Ovis aries: one gene and its partners. The protein of the gene in region 1 purifies or fractionates together with the protein of each later gene. This does not show direct contact. Links are inferred from orthologs where the notes say so. Each region holds a gene or a part of one and is shown in the gene's direction. Other genes may lie near its edges. The genes, in order: CD44, ERBB2 and FGFR1.

The links.
Region 2: the proteins of CD44 (region 1) and ERBB2 purify together in Homo sapiens (affinity purification with western blotting; 3 studies listed by BioGRID and IntAct, with this or other methods). This does not show direct contact. The link is inferred for Ovis aries from reciprocal best matches to the Homo sapiens genes CD44 and ERBB2.
Region 3: the proteins of CD44 (region 1) and FGFR1 purify together in Homo sapiens (affinity purification with mass spectrometry; 3 studies listed by BioGRID and IntAct, counting the BioPlex papers as one, with this or other methods). This does not show direct contact. The link is inferred for Ovis aries from reciprocal best matches to the Homo sapiens genes CD44 and FGFR1.

What each region holds. Positions count from the first base shown.
Region 1 is NC_056068.1:64,454,804-64,462,647, forward strand, and holds the start of CD44 (CD44 antigen), read left to right. Parts: upstream 1-2,979; 5' UTR 2,980-3,105; coding exon 3,106-3,172; intron 3,173-7,844. UniProt on the Homo sapiens protein: Cell-surface receptor that plays a role in cell-cell interactions, cell adhesion and migration, helping them to sense and respond to changes in the tissue microenvironment.
Region 2 is NC_056064.1:39,830,623-39,838,015, forward strand, and holds part of ERBB2 (receptor tyrosine-protein kinase erbB-2), read left to right. Parts: intron 1-95; coding exon 96-169; intron 170-256; coding exon 257-347; intron 348-593; coding exon 594-793; intron 794-1,170; coding exon 1,171-1,312; intron 1,313-1,402; coding exon 1,403-1,493; intron 1,494-2,072; coding exon 2,073-2,233; intron 2,234-3,216; coding exon 3,217-3,243; intron 3,244-3,655; coding exon 3,656-3,703; intron 3,704-5,277; coding exon 5,278-5,416; intron 5,417-5,498; coding exon 5,499-5,621; intron 5,622-5,911; coding exon 5,912-6,010; intron 6,011-6,271; coding exon 6,272-6,457; intron 6,458-6,575; coding exon 6,576-6,731; intron 6,732-6,823; coding exon 6,824-6,899; intron 6,900-7,205; coding exon 7,206-7,352; intron 7,353-7,393. UniProt on the Homo sapiens protein: Protein tyrosine kinase that is part of several cell surface receptor complexes, but that apparently needs a coreceptor for ligand binding. Essential component of a neuregulin-receptor complex, although neuregulins do not interact with it alone.
Region 3 is NC_056079.1:32,644,479-32,651,871, reverse strand, and holds part of FGFR1 (fibroblast growth factor receptor 1), read left to right. Parts: intron 1-795; coding exon 796-986; intron 987-3,336; coding exon 3,337-3,481; intron 3,482-5,383; coding exon 5,384-5,587; intron 5,588-6,399; coding exon of another isoform or gene 6,400-6,400; coding exon 6,401-6,545; intron 6,546-6,741; coding exon 6,742-6,863; intron 6,864-7,383; coding exon 7,384-7,393. UniProt on the Homo sapiens protein: Tyrosine-protein kinase that acts as a cell-surface receptor for fibroblast growth factors and plays an essential role in the regulation of embryonic development, cell proliferation, differentiation and migration.

The sequences.
Region 1 (7,844 bases):
AACACTTTCATACACGTTTCTTCCTTTGCTGATTGTTTACTGCACAAGTGCAAAGGGGACCAAGGTTCAAGATGACCCAATATAGTGGTTTTTAATATTTGCGTGAAGTCAAATTCTTTGTCAAAATGAAATCTCATTCAGCAGTCTAGTGTATAACATTGATGCCAGAGGGAGCTCTGTGGCTGGGATGGGGACTCTAGTGGGGGAGGCATGCTGCTGCTGCTGCTAAGTCGCTTCAGTCGTGTCCAACTCTGTGCGACCCCAAAGATGGCAGCCCACCAGGCTCCTCTATCCTGGGGATTCTCCAGGCAAGAATACTGGAGTGGGTTGCCATTTCCTTCTCCCATGGGGGAGGCATAGCCCACACCTAAGCCTTTGCTTTGATCCCTGTGTATGTTTCTGAGGAGTCTCCAAGGAAATACCTAGTTCCATGCATGGAACAGAAAGACAAACATTGTTTCCAGTCTTTCTAGTGACTACAAATATCCATTCCACTTTCCCCCTCTTCTCCAAAACAAAACAAACAAGAAAAAAAGCTGAAAACCCTGGAAGTGACACAAAACAGCCACGGTCATTCCTTGTCCAGTGTTCTCTCCACGAAACTCACCAGGGCTGGTTTCTCACGTGATCAGAGCCTGAAGATCTGCCTGGAAGCCAGTTTGCCCCCAGTTGCTGAAGGAAAGTGTCCTCTTGGTCACAGATGGCTCGGCCAAGTCAGCTACTATTGTAGCGTTTATCAGCATACCTGTTGGTCAAGTGGGGCTCTTTGTTTCAGACGGGCCACCCCTTTGGACGTGGAATGTCAGCCACTGAGCAGCTGGGGAACAGTAAGTCCAGCGATCTTTCAGCTCCAAATACTCTCCCTGAAAATGCAAGAGGAACAGCCCCTAGTCAAGCAGGCTCTTCCCAACTCAAAACTCACACTGAACTACATAGCATTTGTTCTAAATGTTTGTCTCCCTGCAAGTTCATATGTTGAAATCTTAACTTCCAGTGTGAGGCTATTAGGAGGTGGGGCTTTTGAGAGGTAGTTTAGGTCATGTGAGTGGAGCTCCCGTGAATGGGATTAGTGCCTTTATAAGCAGATGCACACAAGAGAGCTTGTCCTCTCTCTCGCCCTCCATCCCCTTCTCTCCCTCTTGTGAGGACAGGACAGGACAGAGAAGATGACTCTCTGCAAACCAGAAGAGTGTTCTCACCAGAACCGGACCATACTGGCACCCTGATCGTGGACTTCTCAGCTTCCAGAACTGTGAGAAATAAATCGGTCATTTAAGCCACCCAGTCTATAGTACTTTGTTATGGCAGCCTGAACTAAAGCAGTAGGGATGGCTGCACAATTTCATGACTGCATGAAAAGCTACCTAATGGCTAAAATGTTAAATTTTCTATTAGGTGTATTTTAGTACAACAACAGCAACAGCAAAGTAAACTTTCATTGACTTCCTGTTTCTTAGGGATCAAGCTCAAACTTCCTAGTATAATTTACAAACTGGCCCCTGCTTACCCCCTAGCCTCATATCTTGCTGTCCTCCTTCAATCTTTTTATCTGATCAAATGTTCCAATTGCTCTCCAAAATAAAAAAGTGGTTACTTTGCTTTAAAAATGCTGGCAAGGCTCTTTCAGGGTCTCTTCACAGTTTCTGGTATCAGATTCAGTAGTCCAAGTTAGCAATAAATGCTGCACTTGCTTTTCAAATATTGTATCACAATGTTACAGATAGATATGGAATTATAGTGCAAAGTATGATTTTTTCAAACTCAAAATGAGGAATATGACAATCTCCTCCCTTTTCTGAGATTTGCTGAGTAGAATAGATTAGGATAGAAAGTGGATTAATATTCATGTAGATAGGAATATAAACGGGACCAAGAAAGAAGGGATCGATGTGTGGGTGGGTGAGAGGAGGGGTAAAATGATGAATGGATATGTAGATGATGGATGGATGGATGGATAGATAATGTGTGAGTACATGTATGAACAGATATGTGGGTATGGATGGATGGAGGGGAGAATAGTATATAGATGGATGTGGCTTTACAAAGAGATGTGAAAAGATTAATAGATGGATGAGAAGTTGTATGGGAGGGTGGTTGGAAGAAGATGTGGTTGATGGATGGGTAGACAGAATGGCTGGACAGGAGGCTGGGTGCATGTCAGTGCATACCGATGGACAGGAGGGTAAATAGATGTGTGAGCCCTGGAGAGACACAAGATAAAATGGGTAGATAGAGGAACCCGTGGGTGTTTGGGAGGATGAGTGAGAGTGTGAGTAAGCCAAGGAGGAATGGATAGACGGAACCAGGTGCCAGCCTGGGACCGGAAGATGATGTACAGGTCAGTAGAGCCAAATACCAGCCCCGTGGCTGGCTACCATTAGCTTTCCCTGAGCAGTCCTGCTAAGAATCAAAAGTCCACCCGAAGCGTGTTAATGAACTCCCTTCTCTTTCAAGGGAAGGTCGACGAGCTCTTCCTCCCTTCCCTGGAAGAATCGCAAGCTCCCGACCATGCGCAGGGGAAAACCACACTTCCACGGTCCCAGCCCCTCTCCCAGAATATCCAGCTGCCTGTGAAACCCACAGAGAAGAGTTCCCCAGCCTGAGTCAAAAGAGAAACTTCGCGGAGGGGAGAGGCCAGAGGCTGAACCCAAAGGGGCGAGGTTTCAGGACTCAGTTATTCCCTCCTGCGTCCAGAGGCTGCGCTCCCAGCCGCCAGGAGAGAAAAGTCGGTGCGTCCTGGGTGCACGGGGACCCCCTCGGCCCTCCGGGGTGCGCGCCCAGACACCCCGCTTTATTATCTCGGGGGAGAACGGGGCGGGGGCGGAGGGGCCAGGGCTAAGGAGAGCTGGTACGTCTTTAAACTTCTGCGGGCTGCTTAGTCACAGCCCCCTCGCTTGGGTGTGTCCTCCCTCGCTCCCTCCCTCTTAGGTCACTCTCAACCCTCGAATAAAAACTGCACCCAACTTCCGAGGCGCCCTCATTGCCAGCCGGACCCCAGCCTCCGACAGGTTCGGGCGCCCTGCTTGCCCCGTGCTTCGCCGGCCCCCGCCCAGCGCCCGGCCCCTCCGGCTCCACTCCGCTCGCTCGGTCGGTCGCTCCGACGCCATGGACACGTTTTGGTGGCGCGCAGCTTGGGGACTCTGCCTCGTGCAGCTGAGCCTGGCGCAGATCGGTGAGTGCCCGCCCGGACGGGAGGGAGTGGCCCGGACCCAGCCGGGCGGGCTCCGTTGGCCCTGGCGGGGTCGGGGTCAAGTGGGCGGCGAGCGGCTGGGATTTGGCGAAGGAGGACCGGGCGAGGATTTGCGCTAAGCTCTTGGAGAGCCTGTCGTTGGGAAGCACCGTTTTGTGGAACGGCAAAAAGAAAGGGCGCAGAAAAGTTTGCTGGGCAGCAGGCTGTTGGCGCGCGGTTTGGGGTGGGGTGGTTGGAGCCGGTGGAGCACAAGGAACTGTACTCCTGGGTGCGCGCAGCCTGTCTGGACTAACACACTCCTGTGCCCAAGGGCACTTCAAGCCAGGCTGCGCAGGGCAGGGACAGGGGCTGGGGTAGGGACAGGGGTGCTAGCGAGGTGGCCATAGAGGTGGGCACTGTTGCCCTCTGTGAGGGTTGGTGGCAACAAGCTTCCCAGAATGGGGTCCCGCGTTCCTGTGGCTCTCCCATTTCACCTAGGTTCCAAAGCTCTTACAGTTGGCTCCAGTCACGAACAATCTTAACGCTTGTGGGAACTTGAACCTTCTCTGTGGCAAGGTTCTGGGTCGCCACGAGGTGCCAGCCTGGGGCAGGGAGTGTGAGTAGGATAGGCAGTGACTCGGCCAGCTGCTCCATCCTGGCAACCTCCTGCAGGCTGCCAATCAGTTAGGGGAAATCCAGACAGTCATGTGGCTCCCAGTGGGTGCCTGGCAGCCTCGGAGCAGGACAGAGAAGCAGGCTCCTGGGTGGCATCAGGGATCCCGGCGCCTGTATCCCATCCCCACAGGGTCCGTTCTTCTCAGGGGCTGTCGAGGGGGTGGCTGCGTGTGAGGTATTCTGGCAAGGCTGAACTCCAAGCATTCCTTTTCTTTGTCTTTATATGTGCAGATAATTACATGGCTGATTTGCTTATCGCTAGCAAAATTAATTTTTCTTTTAAGAAGTGCCAGCTGGGTCATTAAGACAGCTCAACCTATGGTTAATTCTACTCAGCAAGTGTTTATTAAACCCAGCTCTGGGGGTACCAGGAAAGTAAGAGACACAGTCCTACCGGGGTACTTTAGACTGAGAGGATAAGTGAGGGTCTAGGATTTAGATTCCTGAATCAGAAAAGTAATAATTAATAATAATAATTAACAGTAATCATAATGGCAGCACCAGCCACCATTTATTATACATTTGGGCTGGGCCAGGCACTGTGCTAAATTCTTTACACGCGTTATCTCGTTTTACCCTCAACAATGGCCCACTGAGAAGTGTCCTGTCGTTAGCCCCGTTTTGCAGGAGGGCAGCAAACCGAAGCTCAGAGAGCTTAAGTGACTTGTCTGTGTTCACACAGTCAGAAGACTGCTGGTTCTGTGAACCAAGCTTCTTTGCCTGTTGCTTGGTTAGCACTGGTTAAGCTGCATGTATGATATGGACAAACAGCAGCGTGATATGGACAAACTCAGAAAGGATTTTATGAAGGAGGTGGTGGACCAGAGGCTTTAGAGGAGGCTTTCAAAGGGGAACTGGAGCTCCAGGGATCTCTTGAAAGGCAGAGAGACTTGGGATGGGAGAGAGCAGGGAAAGATTTCAGGGAGAGCTGTGAGCCTGGCCTCAGGGAAGAGGAACCAGGCTGGTGTCTCTCTCTGTCTCTCTCTGTCTCTCTCTGTCTCTCTCTCTCTCTCTCTCTCTCTCTCTCTCTCTCTCTCGCCTATAAGGAAGTCCATTTGTATGTTACCTCCCTGGGGCATCTTCTGCTTTGCTTCTGAGGATTTCGACTCCTGACTCCTTCCATCCTGTAGCGCAAATTCTTCTAAAGGGCCCCATCCCCTGATATTTGGCACTGTCCTGACCCTTGAAGTTCCTCCCTTCCCCCCAGATGGGCAGGCTTACTCCTGCTCTGGGTTTCCGTGGTCCCTTTGGGGAGCGTCATTTGGAGGAAGCGCAAAAAAATGCCAGTAGCGATAGCTGCCTGGGCCCAGGCTTTCATGCACTTGTTAAGCTCTTTGGAAGGAACTGAGACTTGGGAAGGAGATGTGAGTTAACAGTGGGCTCGGGCTGGGCTGGCAGAGAGAGGAAGGACAAAGAGGAGGCGGGAAGACTCTTCTGGTGCCCCACCAGCGAAGGTGGTGGGCTCCAGAGGACAATGTGGACATTTCAGCAAGTGGCAAGGCTTTGGGGAGGAAGAAAGGGTCTGATCTTCATACTGAAAAGCAAGAAGTAGAGACATAGCCAAATACAATTAAGCAGCGTTGGACCCAAACTCTAAGTTGGAGAACAGATCTGTTGAACTACATTTCACACGTGGAAGGACGAAAGTAACCCTGGATAAAGAGCAGTGAAGTGAGCCCTCTATACCTGCCTGCCTCCTGTCCTCTGTGGGTGAGAGGTCCTTGCTAGAGAATTGTGCCCCTGGTGTTTAGAAAGAGGGGTGCAGCTAAGAGCTCTGGGGCTTTGGGGGTGGCTGGCACCCTTCTGATCCCTCTGAGCCTTAGAGACCCCTCTTTCTGGGAGTTAGACTTTTGGCTGTGTTTTCCCAGGAGAAGCAGCAACGAAGCCAACCTCCATTCCCGCTGAGGTTGGTTAGCATCAGTTAATTCAGTTGTTCCCCAGATACACAATGGCCATCTTCCTTCCTACAAAGGCACAGTGCCAAGTAGGTGTGTTTGAGTTTTGCAGCCAGTAGAAAAAGTTTCCGTTCTTTTTCCAGTTTGGCCCACGCAATTTGGAGAGGCTGCAGGGCAGTGTGAAATTCTTAGTTTATGACAGATCCCTTTCCACTCATTCAAGAAATATTTCTTGACTCACTATTGTAGATTCAGAGATGGGGACTCCAAGAATCATTTAGAAAAACCCTTTCTTTTTCCCAAGGAGGAAACAGGTCCCCAAAGAGAGAAAGGTGACTTCCCCTGTCTCTCAGGCCGAGTGTTAGCACAGGACGCTTTCCAAACCTCAGGGCTCTGAAATACCTTAATCCTCCAGGACTGAGCCCACTGCTTACAGTGGGTGGGGAATGTGTGGTCTACAGAGGTAGCAACGTTTGTTTCACACCTTTAGTTGCTGTCTTAAACACTCGATACAATTTTATATTTTCCTCCACAGTATACCCAGTTTGAGTTTAACCTAAGAATAAAGATGATAACTTTCTTCTTATCAAGCAAAGTGGCTGCTTGGGGTAGAGCCTCTGTACTGTCCAGAGCCTCCTGGGGTGTTGCTGAATCCCTCTCAGTTAGCAGCATTCCAGCTTTAAAAGCCTGACACTCGGTTCCTCTATGAAGTAGGGTCCTAAATCTGCAGGCAATACCATTTACCGAGCGCTGACCCTGGTGGCTCAGTGGTAAAGAATCTGCCAGCAAGGCAGGAGACCCAGCAGATGTGGGTTCAATCCCTGGCTCAGAAAGATCCCCTGGAGGAGGAAATGGCAACCCACTCCAGTATTTCTGCCTGGAAAATCCCATGGATGGAGGAGCCTGGAGGGCTTCACAGTTCATGGGGTCACAAAGAGTCGGACGCAACTGAGCACGCATGCACACAGCTTCATACGAGGCATTCAGCCATGGGCTTTGAACAGGTTATCCTATATAAGCTTCACAACAGCCCTGTGTGTGTTTAGCAATCTTTTCATTCCATTTTCCAGATAAAGAAGTTGAGAGGCTCAGGGAGATGGAATGACTTGCCCGAGGACACACAGCTAGTATGAGTGATGGAGTTGGGGTCCTCTGTTGTCTCACATCCTCTGTGTTAAGACTCCAGTGCCTGTGTTGCTTTGATTCATTATTTGCCTCTGGAGGACTCTGGAAATTGTGTGAGGCCAGCAAAAGTGAAGCCTGGGATGAGTGGCTTTCCTCTTCCCTGGCAGGCTGAGAACTCTTGGCTGCCCTGCTCTGCCCTGGCCTGTCTCTCTCCAGTCCTGGCCACAGCTGTCGAGAGATGCCAACCTAGCTATTTGTTACTAAAATAAGTCAATTCCCTTATCAGAGTCCAGCTGCCCTTCCAGACATGCTCTCATTTGCAGGCTTGGAAAAAAGGGAGAGGCTGTTGCTTGTCTAAGAGACAAGTCAGGGCAAGGCTTTCTGCCTGGAAACGGAAAAAAAAAAGGGGGGGGTCCTTGCAGAGGCTCTGACCCTGCAGACATTCTAGGTGCGATGACCCAGGAAGCCCCCTTGTTACATGGTCAGTGGAAACCCTCAGCGTTTAGCAGGTTGTGTGTGCCCCAGTGAGGAGGAGTGTCGAGAACCCGGGCGATGGGCTGATACGGTTTCTTGAAAAGGCAGGGATCTTGAACGGAATGTCAGTGTGGGGTGCGATGTGACACGTGACCACTCAAGTGAGATTTCAGTTTGGCCTTGAGTGTCAGACGGTTCCAGGTGGGGAGTCCCTGATGAAGAGGAGGTTGTGAGAGGGAAGTGGGCCTCCCCCGGCCACCCATCCTGGCTGGGATGGGGGCTGAGTTACAGGCTACCCTTGTATTTCCCCTGCACCTCTTTTTAGTTGACTCCACCAAGAGACTGAAAGGGAAGTGGGTCTTGTGAAAGAATGAACTGAAGCAGGTGGCAAATCCCGCCAGACCGAGTGGAGTTCTCAAAGGGGATCTTTTCTGCTTCAGAGAGAATGTCTGAGGGGTTGCACAGCCAGATGCTGATGACTCAATTTCCTTTGTGTCTTTGCTTCA
Region 2 (7,393 bases), on another chromosome or scaffold:
CTGTCCATGGGATTTTCCAGGCAAGAGTACTGGAGTGGGGTGCCATTGCCTTTTCCTCCTGGCCCTGCTGACTCCTTCCCTAATCCTTCTTCTAGGGACCCAGACTCTAACATCACCCCACTGCAGGCTGAGCAGCTCAAAGTGTTTGAGTCTCTGGAGGAGATCACAGGTGGGCCCTGTCTCTCTGAAGCCTGCTCTCATGGGGCTGGGGGTTCTCATCCTGGCCCCATACCCTAGCCTCACCCTGTGCCTGCAGGTTACCTGTACATCTCAGCGTGGCCAGACAGCCTGCCTGACCTCAGCGTCTTCCAGAACCTGCGAGTAATCCGGGGACGAGTTCTGCATGAGTGAGCACCAGGGGAGGGGGTCCGTGCTGAGAGAGGAGCTGCCCAGGGAGGCCTGGGAGAAGTTTTGGGTGTATGTATAGTGAAGAGAAGGGGGTTCCTGTTCTCCGAGAACTCCAGCAGCAACCTTTCCATGGGAGTTTGCAGTGTGTGCTGGGGACAGGAGGAAGGCGAGGGCAGTTCTGGCTGATGGGGGTGGTCAGCGGTGCGCTGCCCCCTTGCATTTGAGCACCACCTCCCCTCCCACAGTGGTGCCTACTCGCTGACGCTGCAAGGGCTGGGCATCAGCTGGCTGGGGCTGCGCTCGCTGCGGGAACTGAGCAGCGGGCTGGCCCTCATCCACCGCAACGCCCGCCTCTGCTTCGTACACACGGTGCCCTGGGACCAGCTCTTCCAGAACCCCCACCAGGCTCTGCTCCACAGCGCCAACAGGCCAGAGAATGAGTGCGGTAAGACAGCCCGGTGCTGCATGCTCCGCGTCTGCCAGCGCGCGGGTGCGCCCAGGGGCCTCTGGGGGCAGCAATCTGGGACTTCCCTTGTGCATGTGTACTGCCCGTCCCAGGTGCACCATCGCTGACCCAGCTCTGGCTGGCCTGGCCTCTTGGCGTGGCTTCTAGCTGGGTCCGGCCACACTGCCTTGGCATCCCTCCCCTCCCTTTGCTCTGTTCCTGGAACCTCAGAACTTTCTCCCTGCTGTGCTCGGCAGCTATCCCGCCTCTCTAGCCCAGAGCCACGCCCATAAACCCCGCTCCCACCCCCCACCCCCGCCTCCGTGGGACCTGGGACCTCCCATGAGTCCCCTCTGACCCCTTCCTCCTCACTGCAGTGGGTGAGGGCCTGGCCTGCTACCCACTGTGCGCCCAAGGGCACTGCTGGGGTCCCGGGCCCACCCAGTGCGTCAACTGCAGCCAGTTCCTTCGGGGCCAGGAATGCGTGGAGGAATGCCGAGTACTACAGGGACTACAGGGGTATGCCGGGCGGAGGAGGGGGCGGCCAGGAGGTGGGGGAGGTGCGCAGGGGCTCCTTCCAGACCCCTTCACTGGCTGTGCTCCCCTCAGGCTTCCCCGGGAGTACGTGAAGGACAGGTACTGTCTGCCGTGCCACCCCGAGTGTCTTCCCCAGAATGGCTCAGTGACCTGCTTTGGCTCGGTGAGGTGCTCAGAGCTGAGTGGTGGGAAGCAGGGCGGGGTTGAGGGGTCAGCTGCCAGGGACCTGGCCAAGTCCAGTGAAATATCCCTGGGGAGGGCTCCAAGCCCAGGCCTGAACAGCAGGAGAGTGGAAGGAGGCTGGGATGCTGGGAACGGCAAGAACTGTGGACCCTGAGACCCTTCCGACCATGCAGAAGGCCCAGGGAGGCCTGTGCGCGTGGTTGTGGCAGTGCCAAGGCGCTTAGACCTGGGCGCTCAGGCATCAGATTACCTGGATTCAAATCCAGGTGTCACTTCCAACCTCAGTTGGCTCATTCGTGAAATCAATGTTATGCTAGTACCCACCCCATTAGGATACAGTAAGAATTAACTTAAAATAGGGTTTGGCACTGTGTCTGAGCACCAGGGAGCTGGGTGCAGAACAGGGGCAGCAGACATAGCAGGTCTGGGGCTGTTCCAAAAGCAAGGTGAAAAGTGCTGCTGAGTGGCCATGGGAAGCACCAAGGGGACCCAGGGGCCTGATCTTGCTGCCCCGGGGGTATCAGTGCCAGCCTCCCACAAACCCTTTCTTCCCTCCCAGGAGGCTGACCAATGTGTGGCTTGTGCCCACTACAAGGATCCTCCCTTCTGCGTGGCTCGCTGCCCCAGTGGTGTGAAGCCTGACCTCTCCTTCATGCCCATCTGGAAGTTTCCAGATGAGGAGGGCATATGCCAGCCATGCCCCATCAACTGCACCCACTCGTGAGTCTGAGGGCCTTCCCCATATAAAGAAGGGCTTGTTCCAGGAGACTCTCTGAGGCTCTTATTGTAAAAAGTGGGACATCTCTGCCTTTGCTTACCCCAAGGCCCTTAACATTTTTATCTTTTTTTTTTCCTGATCACAAAAGTAATACATATTGTTAAAATTTTTTAAATTAAAGCATGGATAAATTAATAGTATTAACAGTTCTATTCCACTGTTAATAACTTGCCATATTTTCCCTCCAGTTTATATGTGCACATGCTAACATGTATTATTATATAATATATAAAATATGTTTATATATTATTTTTATTCTCCAATTCTTATCTGTGCACATTCTAGTCTATATTTCTTTTTACAAAAATAGGAGCATAGACCATACCTATTGTTTGCCAATTGCTTTTTCTCACGTAACACTGCAGTTTTTCTTGCAATGCTTTTTCATGTGCTAATATAGTGATCCGCCCTGCTCTTTTTATTTTTTTACTTAGTTGTTTTTGATAACACGTGGAACACGTGCATACATTCTTGTAAGACATATTTTTAGCAGTATCAAAGTAAACAGTGTAAAGCAGAAGTGCCCTTTCTCCCACTGCCCCTCCCCTCCCTGGAGAGAACTACCAGGTCACTCTGGAATGTGCATTCCTCCAGGCTTTTCTGCACATATTTACATAAGTGCATTTTACGTATATGTTACGTTGAGTCATATAAGATTGCTGTTTTTAGAAGTCAAAAATGATCAAGAAACAACAGTTTCATCTAGCTCATCTATTTCTCAGCAATTTATTTGACTCATATACACTTTGCTCCCCCACACCTTCCCCCCTTTATGTATCTTGGAGGTCCTTTCCTGTGAATGCATATCAATCTAACTCCTTTTTTTTTTAACTACTCAATCTGCAGTATGGATGTAGAGTTATTTAGTTGTGTCCCTGCCTGAGAGTACTGACTGAACTTGTTTCCTTTTTTCTCTTTTTGGCAGTTTATTGCACTTGAGCTCCACGTACAAGTGAGCATCTTGTACATGCCCCCTAGTGTACAGGTGTTGGCATTTTCAGGGTTTATCCCCAGAGGTGGAACCGCTGGGAGGACAGGAGGAACTGCGGGAGTTTGCCCGACTACAGTAGTAGTTTACGCTGGCTTCCTCTACAGAGGAGATGGCTAAGCTCTTGAACCCGATGCTCCTTTGGGTGCCACCACTTCCTTCCCACCACAGGGAGGTGCAAATGATATGGGTTTACAGACTGGAGGACTCCCCCGTGGGATGGTAGAAAGAGCCCTGGTGACCTCGAACCCAGTTTCTGCCTTTGTCAAGTGGGGATCCTAACCCAGTCACACCCACCTCCTGGGATCCTGTGAGGCTGGAGTGAGTGCAGGAGGTGGTTCCCAGCCTTGTTGACGGGACTCTCTCTCTCCTGCAGCTGTGTGGACTTGGATGACAAGGGCTGTCCCGCCGAGCAGAGAGCCAGGTCAGCCTGGTCCCCAGAATGCACCCCACATTGCCCTCAGTTCCCCACTGACCCCTGGGTGGTCCCTGCTGCTAGGTGTCATGTCCTGACATGACACGTGTCCTCCCCAGCCCACTCTTCCACTGTGGATGCTTCTTTCAGTTAGCTTCAACTAGGGGATGGAGGGGCTTCCCAGGTGGTGCAGGGGTCAATTGGCCTGCTAGTGCAGGAGACACAAGAGACTGGGGTTCAATCTCTGGGCTGCGAACATCCCCTGGAGTAAGAAATAACGACCTACTCCAGTATTCTTGCCTCGGAAATCCCATGGACAGAGAGGCCTGGCTGGCTACACTCAACGGGGTTGCAGAGAGGTGGACACAACTGGGAGGCTCAGCACATATGCACACACACATGCAGTGGGTGGAAGGCCTGCTCGGCTTGCTTGGGGGTCAGGGGGTAGGAAGACACCCAGCACCTCCCCACCCTCCCTGTATAGCTGGGGGTCTCATAAGGGACACAGGCAGCCTTCAACTCCCTGGGACTCGAGGCACGTTGAGAAGAGAGCATGGCTGCAGCACTGAGGGAGAGACAGTGAATACTTCCCTGGGGTCAGTGGGAGGCTTCAGGCACATGAGCTAGGTTTTGAAAGAGGGGCGCGAAATGTCACTTGTATTAGGAAAGCAACCAGGCAGCATGGTAAGAGGTGTCCAGAAAGTCTAGGATGTATTTGCTGAAGATTCTGCTGTGGTGGGTAACTGACTAAGCACAGAGGAAGGAGTAGGGGGTGAAGTCTGAGTCAGTTCAGGGCCGGATCTGGAGGGCATAGGCTCTCCCCTACCATGAGGCCACAGGCCCTGTGATGTCCATCACTACCATCGCTGGACTTGATTTCTAGGCAGAGGGGTGTTTTGGGAAGGGTTTTAGGGAGAAAAAGATCGGAGTGTGTCCTGAGTAAGCATTTGTCCATGACATAAGGGTCCATTTGAGGTCTGTGATAAGCCAGCCCTTGGCTAAGCAAGGGAGGGGAACAAGGATGACAAGGATGTAGGGTCAGTGCCCAGGAGATCCTTCTATCCTAGGATAAGCAGAGTCTTGAAAGATGACCTCATGCAGAAATGGTGATCCAGGCAGAAGTATTATAACAACGGCTGGGAGATTTGGAAATCGTGACCTATGGGTGAAAATTCTGGCTAGAACATCAGAATCTCTGTGTGCACCTTCCTGGGCCCCACCTCATACCACAGTCAAAGTCTCTGGAGGGTGGAGCTCCGTACTCTCACAGGTTGACAAGAACCCTGGGCTAGAGCCATGGGCAAGAGCATAGACAACTTGGAGATGTAGGTGTAGAGGGTTTTGAATCTTAGCAAGGAGTCTGGACTTTATTTCCCAGACAGTAAGGAGCCAAGATGGATTTTAGAGTAGGTCAGACAGGATGGGAGCCTGTGGGTCACCCTTCTGACTTCCCTTTCCAAATGCCAGTGACAGTCAGCCCCCTCTCCCTCCTCCCCCCACCCCACCGCGCCCCACCGTGGGACCCCTTCATCCCCCCTGCCCCAGACTGGTCCCCAATCCATGATCCTGGCTCCTGCCCCCAGCCCTGTGACATCCATCATTGCCGCTGTGGTGGGCGTTCTGCTGGTTGTCCTTGTGGGGCTGGTGTTCGGCATCCTCATTAAGCGAAGGCGGCAGAAGATCCGGAAGTATACAATGCGGCGGCTGCTGCAGGAGACGGAGGTGAGGCGACCTGAGGGTCTCTCTCGAGCTCTGGGGTCTGCGGCCCAACCTGCAGCACTGACCCACTACCCCCTCACCCCAGCTGGTGGAGCCCCTGACGCCCAGCGGAGCGATGCCCAATCAGGCTCAGATGCGGATCTTAAAAGAGACAGAGCTGAGGAAAGTGAAGGTGCTAGGATCTGGAGCTTTTGGCACCGTCTACAAGGTCAGGGGTGGGGCCAAAGTCCCCGGGTGGGCGGTCCTAGAGGATGCTGCAGGGTGTGGCGGAGGGTGTGCTGGGACAACAGCCAGGAACCGCGGGTGGTGCAGTTGAGTAGGCACTTAAGGATAGGGGATTGGGAGTGGCCAGTGGGTCTAAATGGTGAGGCTGCTGCTAAATAATGGGATTGGCCCAAGGGTTGGGGAGGGAATTGGGAGCACAAGCAGTGACCCCAAGTAGGACGGCTGCAGGTTGATCTGGCCGGTCCTTTTGCTCACATCCTCCTCTCTGCCCAGGGCATCTGGATCCCCGATGGGGAAAATGTGAAAATCCCCGTGGCCATCAAGGTGTTGAGGGAAAACACATCTCCCAAAGCCAACAAGGAAATCTTGGACGTAAGCCCTTCCACCCTGTCCAGCTGGGGGTATGGGGGACTGGGCTCTCTCTCTCTTCACTGGGGTTTTGGGGGACACCCTGTGATTCCCCCAAATGTCTACTCTTACCCTCCCTAGTCTGTGGGCCATGGTTCCGATTTGTGATGAATGGGATTGGGTTGGCGGAGGGCCCGTTATCATGGCTTAGCCCTTGGGAGGGGTGTGTGGTGGTTGGGGGTTAGTGGTTTCCCATACCCTCTCAGTGTGTGCCCTTGTTTCCAGGAAGCATATGTGATGGCTGGTGTAGGCTCCCCATATGTGTCCCGCCTCCTGGGCATCTGCCTGACATCCACAGTGCAGCTGGTGACACAGCTTATGCCCTATGGCTGCCTCCTCGACCACGTCCGAGAACACCGTGGGCGCCTGGGCTCCCAGGACCTGCTGAACTGGTGTGTGCAGATTGCCAAGGTATGCACTTTGGGGGCCAGGGCTCTGCAGGTGCCCTTGGGGAGCAAGCCTCTGGATAGGGAGGTTTCCTGGGAGAGTTTTGGCAGAGCGAGGTCCACACTGATGCCTCTGACCCCAGGGGATGAGCTACTTGGAGGATGTGCGGCTCGTGCATAGGGACCTGGCTGCCCGGAACGTGCTGGTCAAGAGTCCCAACCATGTGAAGATTACAGACTTCGGGCTAGCGCGACTGCTAGACATTGACGAGACAGAGTACCACGCAGATGGGGGCAAGGTTAGAGGAGCAAACCGAAACAAGGGGGAGTGGGGTCTGGCCCCTGGGAGAACTCAGACCTGGTTGGAGGACTTCCTTCTCTGCTCTACCAGGTGCCCATCAAGTGGATGGCATTGGAGTCCATTCTCCGCCGGCGGTTCACCCACCAGAGTGACGTGTGGAGCTATGGTGTGTGATGGAGTGGGTAGGGAGGGTGGACAAGGAGCCATGGCCCTGGGGAGAATGTGGGTGGAAGGATGGGGTGAACTGATAGACACCTTTGGTATAAATGTGAGAAGGAAGGAAGTGGCTGCCAGTGCCTCAGGCTGCCAGAGTGTGTGTGCTTCCCAGGGACTGGGAAAAGACCAAGTTATCTCCTGTCCTTTGGCATTGCATCTTTCCTCCTTCCCCCATGGTGCCAGGCTCTTCGGCAGAGCCTCTGAGGCTCCGTACACTAAAGCTGCCTCTGGTCCTCCCACCCCATCTATGCCCCAGGTGTGACTGTGTGGGAGCTGATGACTTTTGGGGCCAAACCTTATGATGGGATCCCAGCCCGGGAGATTCCTGACCTGCTGGAGAAGGGAGAACGGCTGCCCCAGCCCCCCATCTGCACCATTGATGTCTACATGATCATGGTCAAATGTACGTTCTTGAGCTGTGTTGGCTGCTTGGAGGAGGGGTGG
Region 3 (7,393 bases), on another chromosome or scaffold:
GTGGTACCACAGGTTCATTGTAAAGGGAAAGGTGTTGTTGAGTCTCTCTTGCAGGAGTTGACTGGCATAGTAGTGGTTAATCTAGCTTAATAGTAGCTACCATTCCACAGATGCGAGTGGTCTGCCGGGTACAGTAAATACACCACAGGCAATTCTTCTAGCACCCTGCAAGGCAGGTGCTGTTGTTCCCACTGTACAGAGGAACACACTGAGGCTCAGAGAGGTCAGTCCACACAGACTCCAGGCACTGCATGAGACACTAGGAAGATCGCCGTGCCTCTTGGTGCTGTGGTGCAGCCTCTGCCTTCCAGAGGCTCTGAATCTCATTCTCTGGCGACCTTAAGGTAAAGAGTTTCACAGCCAGGGTTCTGCCTTGGCTTTAAGGATATGGTATGCAGAGAAGCTTCTGGGGAATTCCCTGGAGGGTCAGTGGTTAGGACTCAGTACTTTCCCTGCCATGGCTCGGTTCAGTCCCTTGTTGGGGAACTAAGATCCTACGAGCCATGGAGTGCAGCAAAAAAAATAATAATAATAATACAAGCTTGTGATCTAGGAGGTCCAGGGTAGGATCTGAGGGTCAGTGTTTCTAACAGGCTGGTGAAGCTGGTGCTGCAGTACCCAGACCACAGTTTGAACAGCAAGAGTCTGAGTGGCTGTGGGTTTAGTTACAGGCAGGTAGGCTGGGCTTGGTCCGGGAATGCGTCTCTGTGCTGGTCCTTAGGATACTGTCAGCATTCCAGCCAGGAGCAGCCACGGCAGGGCCTGACGACCCTCTCCCATCCCGTGCCCCCCCAGAGCGGTCCCCTCACCGGCCCATCCTGCAGGCGGGCTTGCCGGCCAACAAGACGGTGGCCCTGGGCAGCAATGTGGAGTTCATGTGCAAGGTGTACAGTGACCCACAGCCCCACATCCAGTGGCTGAAGCACATCGAGGTGAACGGGAGTAAGATTGGGCCGGACAACCTGCCTTATGTCCAGATCTTGAAGGTAATCCTGGCTCCGGTCTCCGTGGGCTGGGCTCGGGGAAGGAGGCCTGTATCTCCTGGGGCCCAGGTGGCTGGGGTCCGGCTCAGTCCCTGCGATCGGGCCCCGGTCCTTCTGCTGGGTCCAGGCTCCATCTTACGTGGGCCCCTGGCCACTTTCCAAAGGACCAGTGGCAGGTCATGGGTGAAGGCTCGTAGGATGCTGAGGGCTGGGGGTGAGCACTGCTGGCTTCTAAAGAGCTTGGACGGTGACCGTACCCAGGCTTTCAGGTCAGCTTCTCTGGGAAGGCATTGGCACTCTGCTCTCCCACTGCCCACCACCACAGCCTTCCCAGCAAGCATCTGCTAGTCTCTGCCCTGCTTCCTGAGTCACATCCTTTCTGGCACGTGGGCTGATGCCAGGCACGGTTTAGCTTAGGTAGGGCTGGAAAAGCTGAGGCCATGGGTCAGTCCTCAGCGGTTTCAGGAGTAATGGCACTTTCTTTTTTCCTCCCACTCCCAGACTTCGAATGTCCCTGAATGCTCCATTAATCCAGGGAAGCTAATTGCCTAATTCTCCAGTGGATCTTGCAACAGGAAGTAACCAGAAGCTGGGAACCTGCTTTCCCTCCTGGTCCCAGCCTTAGACCTCCTCCTCCCTGGCTTGGCTGTTCCAAAGATTTCCCAGCCAGCCACCACGCGCCTCACCTTGGGCACTGAAACTGCCATGTAGGAAGTGGGCCCAGGGCCTTGGACCTTGGCTGCTGTCTCCATTGGCAATCTCTGCCCTCTTCCTGGAGGAGGGGGTTTAACACAAATGAAACATTTGCTTGGGGCAATGATTTTTTTCATTCAGTTTGTTTTTCAGTCACATGGATTTTTAAAGTCCACTTTTTTATCCTGCTAATGAGGGAAAGAGGATAAGCGTCACCTCAGCCTCTTGCCTTAGCTCCTGGGCCCACCTTAACACCGCACGGGAGCAAATACGGCCACATCTCTGTGTTGGCCCAACTGACAGCATGTCGTTGGTCTGTTCCAGCATTCGGGGATAAATAGCTCGGATGCGGAGGTCCTGACCCTGTTCAATGTGACAGAGGCCCAGAGCGGGGAGTATGTGTGTAAGGTTTCCAATTATATTGGTGAAGCTAACCAGTCTGCGTGGCTCACAGTCACCAGACCTGTGGCAAAAGGTAATGGGGAGCTGGAGGGGCCCTTGTGCTGGGGGTTGATGGAGGCCCCGAGCTGCCAGGGCAGCTGTGGGGAGGCCAGCGCCCCACTCTCCCTGTGAGCCTGCTGTTTCTAGTGCCCGGAGCCATGGAAAAATACCCGGCCTGGGCGGCTGGATTGGTTCGGTTCTGTGTTGGTGTCACCCCTCTGTGCCTTGTGTGTGTTCTTGGCTGCGTGTGGGGTGCGTCCTGGGTGATCCTGGAGACTGAGGGTCCGAGTGATGGAGAGGAGAGAGGACCAGCGTCTATAGCGATGTGTGTGTGGGGGGAATGTGGGTGTGTGTGTATGGGATGGGGGGGTATGTGTGTGGGAGGGTATTTGTGTGGGTGTGAGTGTGGGGGGTGAGTGTGTGTGTGGGGTGTGTGTGTGTGTGTGTGTGTGACTGGGGAGGTGTGGGTGTGGGGGGGGGCTGTGTGTATGTGTGGGGGGTGGGGGGTATTTGTGTGGTGGTGAGTGTGGGGGGTGAGAGTGTGTGGGGGGTGTGTGTGTGACTGAGGAGTTGTGTTTGGGGGTATGTGTGTGGTGGGGGTATATGTGTGTGTGGGGTATTTGTGTGGGTGAGTGTGGGGGGGTGAGAGTGTGAGGGAGTGAGAATGTGTGGGGGGGCTGTGTCAGTGTGTGTGTGGGGTGTGTGAGTGTGTGGGATGTGGGGGGGTATGTGTGTGGGTGAGTGTGTGTGTGGGGTGTGTTTGTCTGAGGGTGTAGGATGGGGGTATTTGTGTGGGTGTGAGGGTGTGTGTGTGGTGGTGAGTACGGGTATGAGTGTCTGTGTGAGGCTGCAGCCAGCCCCCTCTGTTCCTCCTGTGTGTCCCCTCTGGAAACCAAACAGCCCCCGCGCCGGCCCATTTCTCCATGCGCTCGCGCCGCATGCGGGGCTGGGCCGGGGCTGCTGCGCCTGGTGACGGGTGTAACCAGCCATCCGCGTTGCGCCGTCAGGTCTGCCGAGTTCCTCCTCAGGCTCTCACCCTCTTCCTCTAACAGGTTTCTCGCTGCCTGGTGATTTTTGTCTGTCCGTTGTTGCAAAGGAGACGCTGGGGAACCTTTCTTCCTCTGGTTATTTTTTTCTTCCCCCTTTCCTCCTCCTCGTTCCCTCTCTGAGAGGTCTCCGGTCCCGGGCTTGTCCATGTGGCTTCCGTTGTCTCTTCTAGACGGCCGGAGTTAACACCACCGACAAAGAGATGGAGGTGCTGCACTTAAGGAATGTCTCCTTTGAGGACGCGGGGGAGTATACATGCTTGGCGGGTAACTCTATCGGACTCTCCCATCACTCTGCATGGCTGACCGTTCTGGAAGGTATACACTGTCCTCCTCCTCTCGATGTCCTGCCCTCGCCAGGGCCACGGGGGGAGCATGCATCGCAGGGTCGGGGGAGACACAGAGCCGGGCTCCATACGCAGCACGCGGCTCCAGCAAGTCATCCGGCCTGTCATCTGGCCTCATGGATCAAACCTTCTCAGCTCACCCCGGAGTCTTCCTCCTGGTGCAGGATCTCAGATTGCTCTCACTTGTGGGCCTGCCTCCGTCTCTCCCCCGGGTTGGAGCGATACATGCATGGGGTCTGGATCTAACCTGCAGCTGGGCTCTCCTTCAGGGCAGGCTCCTTCCCTCCTCGCGTCCAGCAGTCTTGCTTTATTGCCAGCCCCCGAAGTCTCCGAGAGGCTCCCCCTGTAACTGAATATAGGTGCTCTGAAGGGAGGGGCTTGCCGCTTGGAAGCACCAATGCTCTCCACCTTCCCCCTTGCTGATCTCGGTGGGCGAGGTTCCTCCAGACCCAGACAGAGGACTTGAGCGGCTTTGAGCGAGTCCTTTCCCAGGCAGCGCAGGGGGCTCGATGGTGCCCGTTTATCCTCTTTGGCTCCCAGTGCAGCTCCTCTCCAGAGGGGGCTGTGGAGGTAGGGCCAGGAAGGCAGGAGCCTGCAGCCTGTGCAGGGTGGTGGGCTGGCGGCCTCGGGGCTGGAGCTGGGCGCGGCGCTGCTCATCCTGGGACTCTGGTCTCTTTCCTCATCCCTCTCGTCCTCTGATAACGCACGCCCACTGGAGGCGCGGAAGCATTTTCTGCTTTTTTCATCACTGTCTTTGTACTGTGTTGTGTGCCTCCCAGTGGATGGTCTCTGTTTCTCCACGCTGGGGAAAGAGAAAAACAGAAACGCTTCTCCGTTATCAGCTCTGCCGTCCCTTGTCGCACCTTGGGGAGTTCTTTGGGCTGGTTTGGGGTCATGCCTGGGGCCTCCTGGGGGAGGTCCTCGGGGTGCTGGCCCCTGTGGCCAGCGGGGGTCTTTAATAGGGGAGGGGTGGGGGAAGGGATGTCCTGCTGGATGGGACCCTCTCCACCTCCGTGCGAGAGGGAAAGAGGCTTGAGTTGCCTGGGCTTCAGTGAGGGTGGGAGGCGGGAGAGTCTGAATGGAGAAATGAATAAAACCCTCTCCCTGACTTTGCTCAGTGTGAGGCGTTAGACCTGTGAGTGGAAGTCTTAAGAGATGTTTCCATGTTTATCTGTAATAATCCAGACATTTGCAAGCGAAGTTCTGTCTGCAGTTTGGCTAGGTATAGACGTTTTCATGTCTGACCTGATATAGATGACATAGGCAAAGCTGAGCAATGAAGTCGGGACATATGCTGGTTTTCTTCTTTCCTCCCTGCATCATTGTCTTTGCGTTATGAGTGCCACTGGATGCCAGGCGCTGTGGCCTGCAGACATGGATGAGGTGCCACCTGGGCCCTCGGGGTACCCCTGGGCCATCAGTAATGGAAGACCAACGGATCGTTCGCTGTCCCATGATAGGTGTTGACCCAGTGCTCGGGCATTGTGGAGGAGGGCCGTGTGTCCATGGGAACACTGAGTGGCATCTAGCGTGCATGAGTGCTCAGCTGTCTCTTGCAGGGCACCAAGTACCCATCCAGTCCAGCAGTCCCTGAGCCAGCAGGGCTCCTGAGTTCATGGGCATGGGATTCGGCTAGCAAGATACAGTCCATCCCTCTGGGGATTCAAGTCAGGGTCAGGGAGCCTCACAGATCCCAGGATGTCTGCTGTGTGCTGTGTCAGGACCCCAATCCCATCTAGGACCTAGCTCAGTTTGTCTCTAACCCAAAGACTCCCAGAGTTTAGGAGATGGATGTTGAGTTTCTTAGGGAGCCGGGACCCTAGTGGACCAGCCCTGCCCTGAGCCCACTAACGTCCTGTTCACGCTGACCCAGCCCTGGAAGAGAGACCGGCGGTGATGACCTCGCCGCTGTACCTGGAGATCATCATCTACTGCACGGGGGCCTTCCTCATCTCCTGCATGGTGGGCTCTGTCATCATCTACAAGATGAAGAGCGGCACAAAGAAGAGTGACTTCCACAGCCAGATGGCCGTGCACAAGCTAGCCAAGAGCATCCCTCTGCGCAGACAGGTAACAGAAAGTAGACGGGGGGTTCGCATGCTCTGCCTCACCCTGTGCGTCCTCCCTGCACCCCAGAGGGGTCTGCGGGACCTGCCACAGGGTCCCTACTTCAGACTTTGGTGTCCGGCTTCCGGGTGGCAGCAGGAGAGTGTCCTAAGTGCTTGGGGTCAGGCTCCAAGTTCTTCTGGCCGATGAATCCTGTGAGCCCATCTTACCTCAACCACAGTACCCTGCTCAGCCAGCCTGGGGACTGGGAGATGGTCCTCACTGGACTGAATGCCCAGCTCATATTATGAATCTGAGCTTCCCCTGAGGGCCCATTAGGGATGCAAAGGTGCAGAGGAGAGGAGCTGAGCTGGGTCCCAAGATGCCATCTCGCTCCTGTGCGCCCACCTCCCATCCCAGGAGATGGAACAGAGGGTGAAGGTGTGTGAAATGAGAAAAGGAGGCAGGCTTCGCTCTGAGCCATGCTAATTCTGGAAGGGGCTTCGGGAGTCAGGAACCCCCCATCCACAGCAGGGTTTTCACATAAGAATGAGGACAGGAAGAGAGTTGCTCTTGCAGTGACAAGTTACAGAATGTCAGGCTGTCACACTCATGTGAAAGGTGAGTAATCCAAAACCCAGAAAGGAGTTGGTGGCAAACATAAGTCAGTGTTAGAACCTCGTTCTTCCGACCTCCTGTGGCCTTTCTGCCTGTGTTGGGGAGGGAGCACCGGATGCCAGGTCCACACCTCTAACTTTAGCAACAAGGCCTGAGCGGGGAGGGAAGGGACCTGCCGCTGCTCCCCTGTCCCTTCTGGAAGGGTGACCCCACGCCTCCCTGCAGGTGTCAGCCGACTCCAGCGCGTCCATGAACTCCGGGGTCTTGCTGGTTCGGCCCTCGCGTCTCTCCTCCAGCGGCACCCCTATGCTGGCCGGGGTATCTGAATATGAGCTTCCTGAAGACCCTCGCTGGGAGCTGCCTCGGGACAGGTAACCGCCCCCAGCCCCCCCAGCTCGTTATTCTAACGGGGGCAGTGGTGTGGGCTCAGACCTTCAGGGGAGCATCCAGAAGTGACTGCCACTGTCTGCTCTTAGTCAAAGGAACTGGAGGCGGAGGGGGAGTGGGGGTTCCTGTCAGGTTTGAACATTACCACCCTAGCTTATCCCACCCTTTGTTTCCCTGAAGACTGGTTTTAGGCAAGCCACTGGGAGAGGGCTGCTTTGGGCAGGTGGTGTTGGCGGAGGCCATCGGGCTGGACAAGGACAAACCCAACCGTGTGACCAAAGTGGCCGTGAAGATGCTAAAGTGTATGTGGTGCCTGTGTCCCTGCAGAAACGACCCCCTTCCCTTTCCAAGCAAACTCTGGGCCTCAGGCTATTACCTGCACCTGCTCCACAGCCTGCTTAGGTTGTCCTGGAGTTGGGGGGCATTGCACACCCCGCCATCTCACCATGACCTCACTTTGTTCCTTGGCGTCTGTCATCAGTTGGTGACCCCAGATCTTTTTTTTTTTTTGGCAACACTGGCAGCTCTCGTAAGAGGGAAGGGGAGATAAATTTGGATGTGAAAAGGAGAGAGGAGGGACTTCTGGCAGTCAAGCGGTTAAGTCTCTGCACTTGCTCTGCAGAGGAGATCCCACATGCCCTGTGGTGCCGCCAAAAGAAAAAAAAAAAAGCCAAGGACCGGGGGCGCATAAAGAGAGAAGCAAGTCCCAGAGGAAAGGGACCCCTGGGTGTTTACCTCATCCCCCTCCCTTAGTTTTTGTCCTGTAGGCCTTCCTTCCGACACAAGTGCTTCTCCATCCCTTTCTCTGCTTTGTCCACGCAGCGGATGCAAC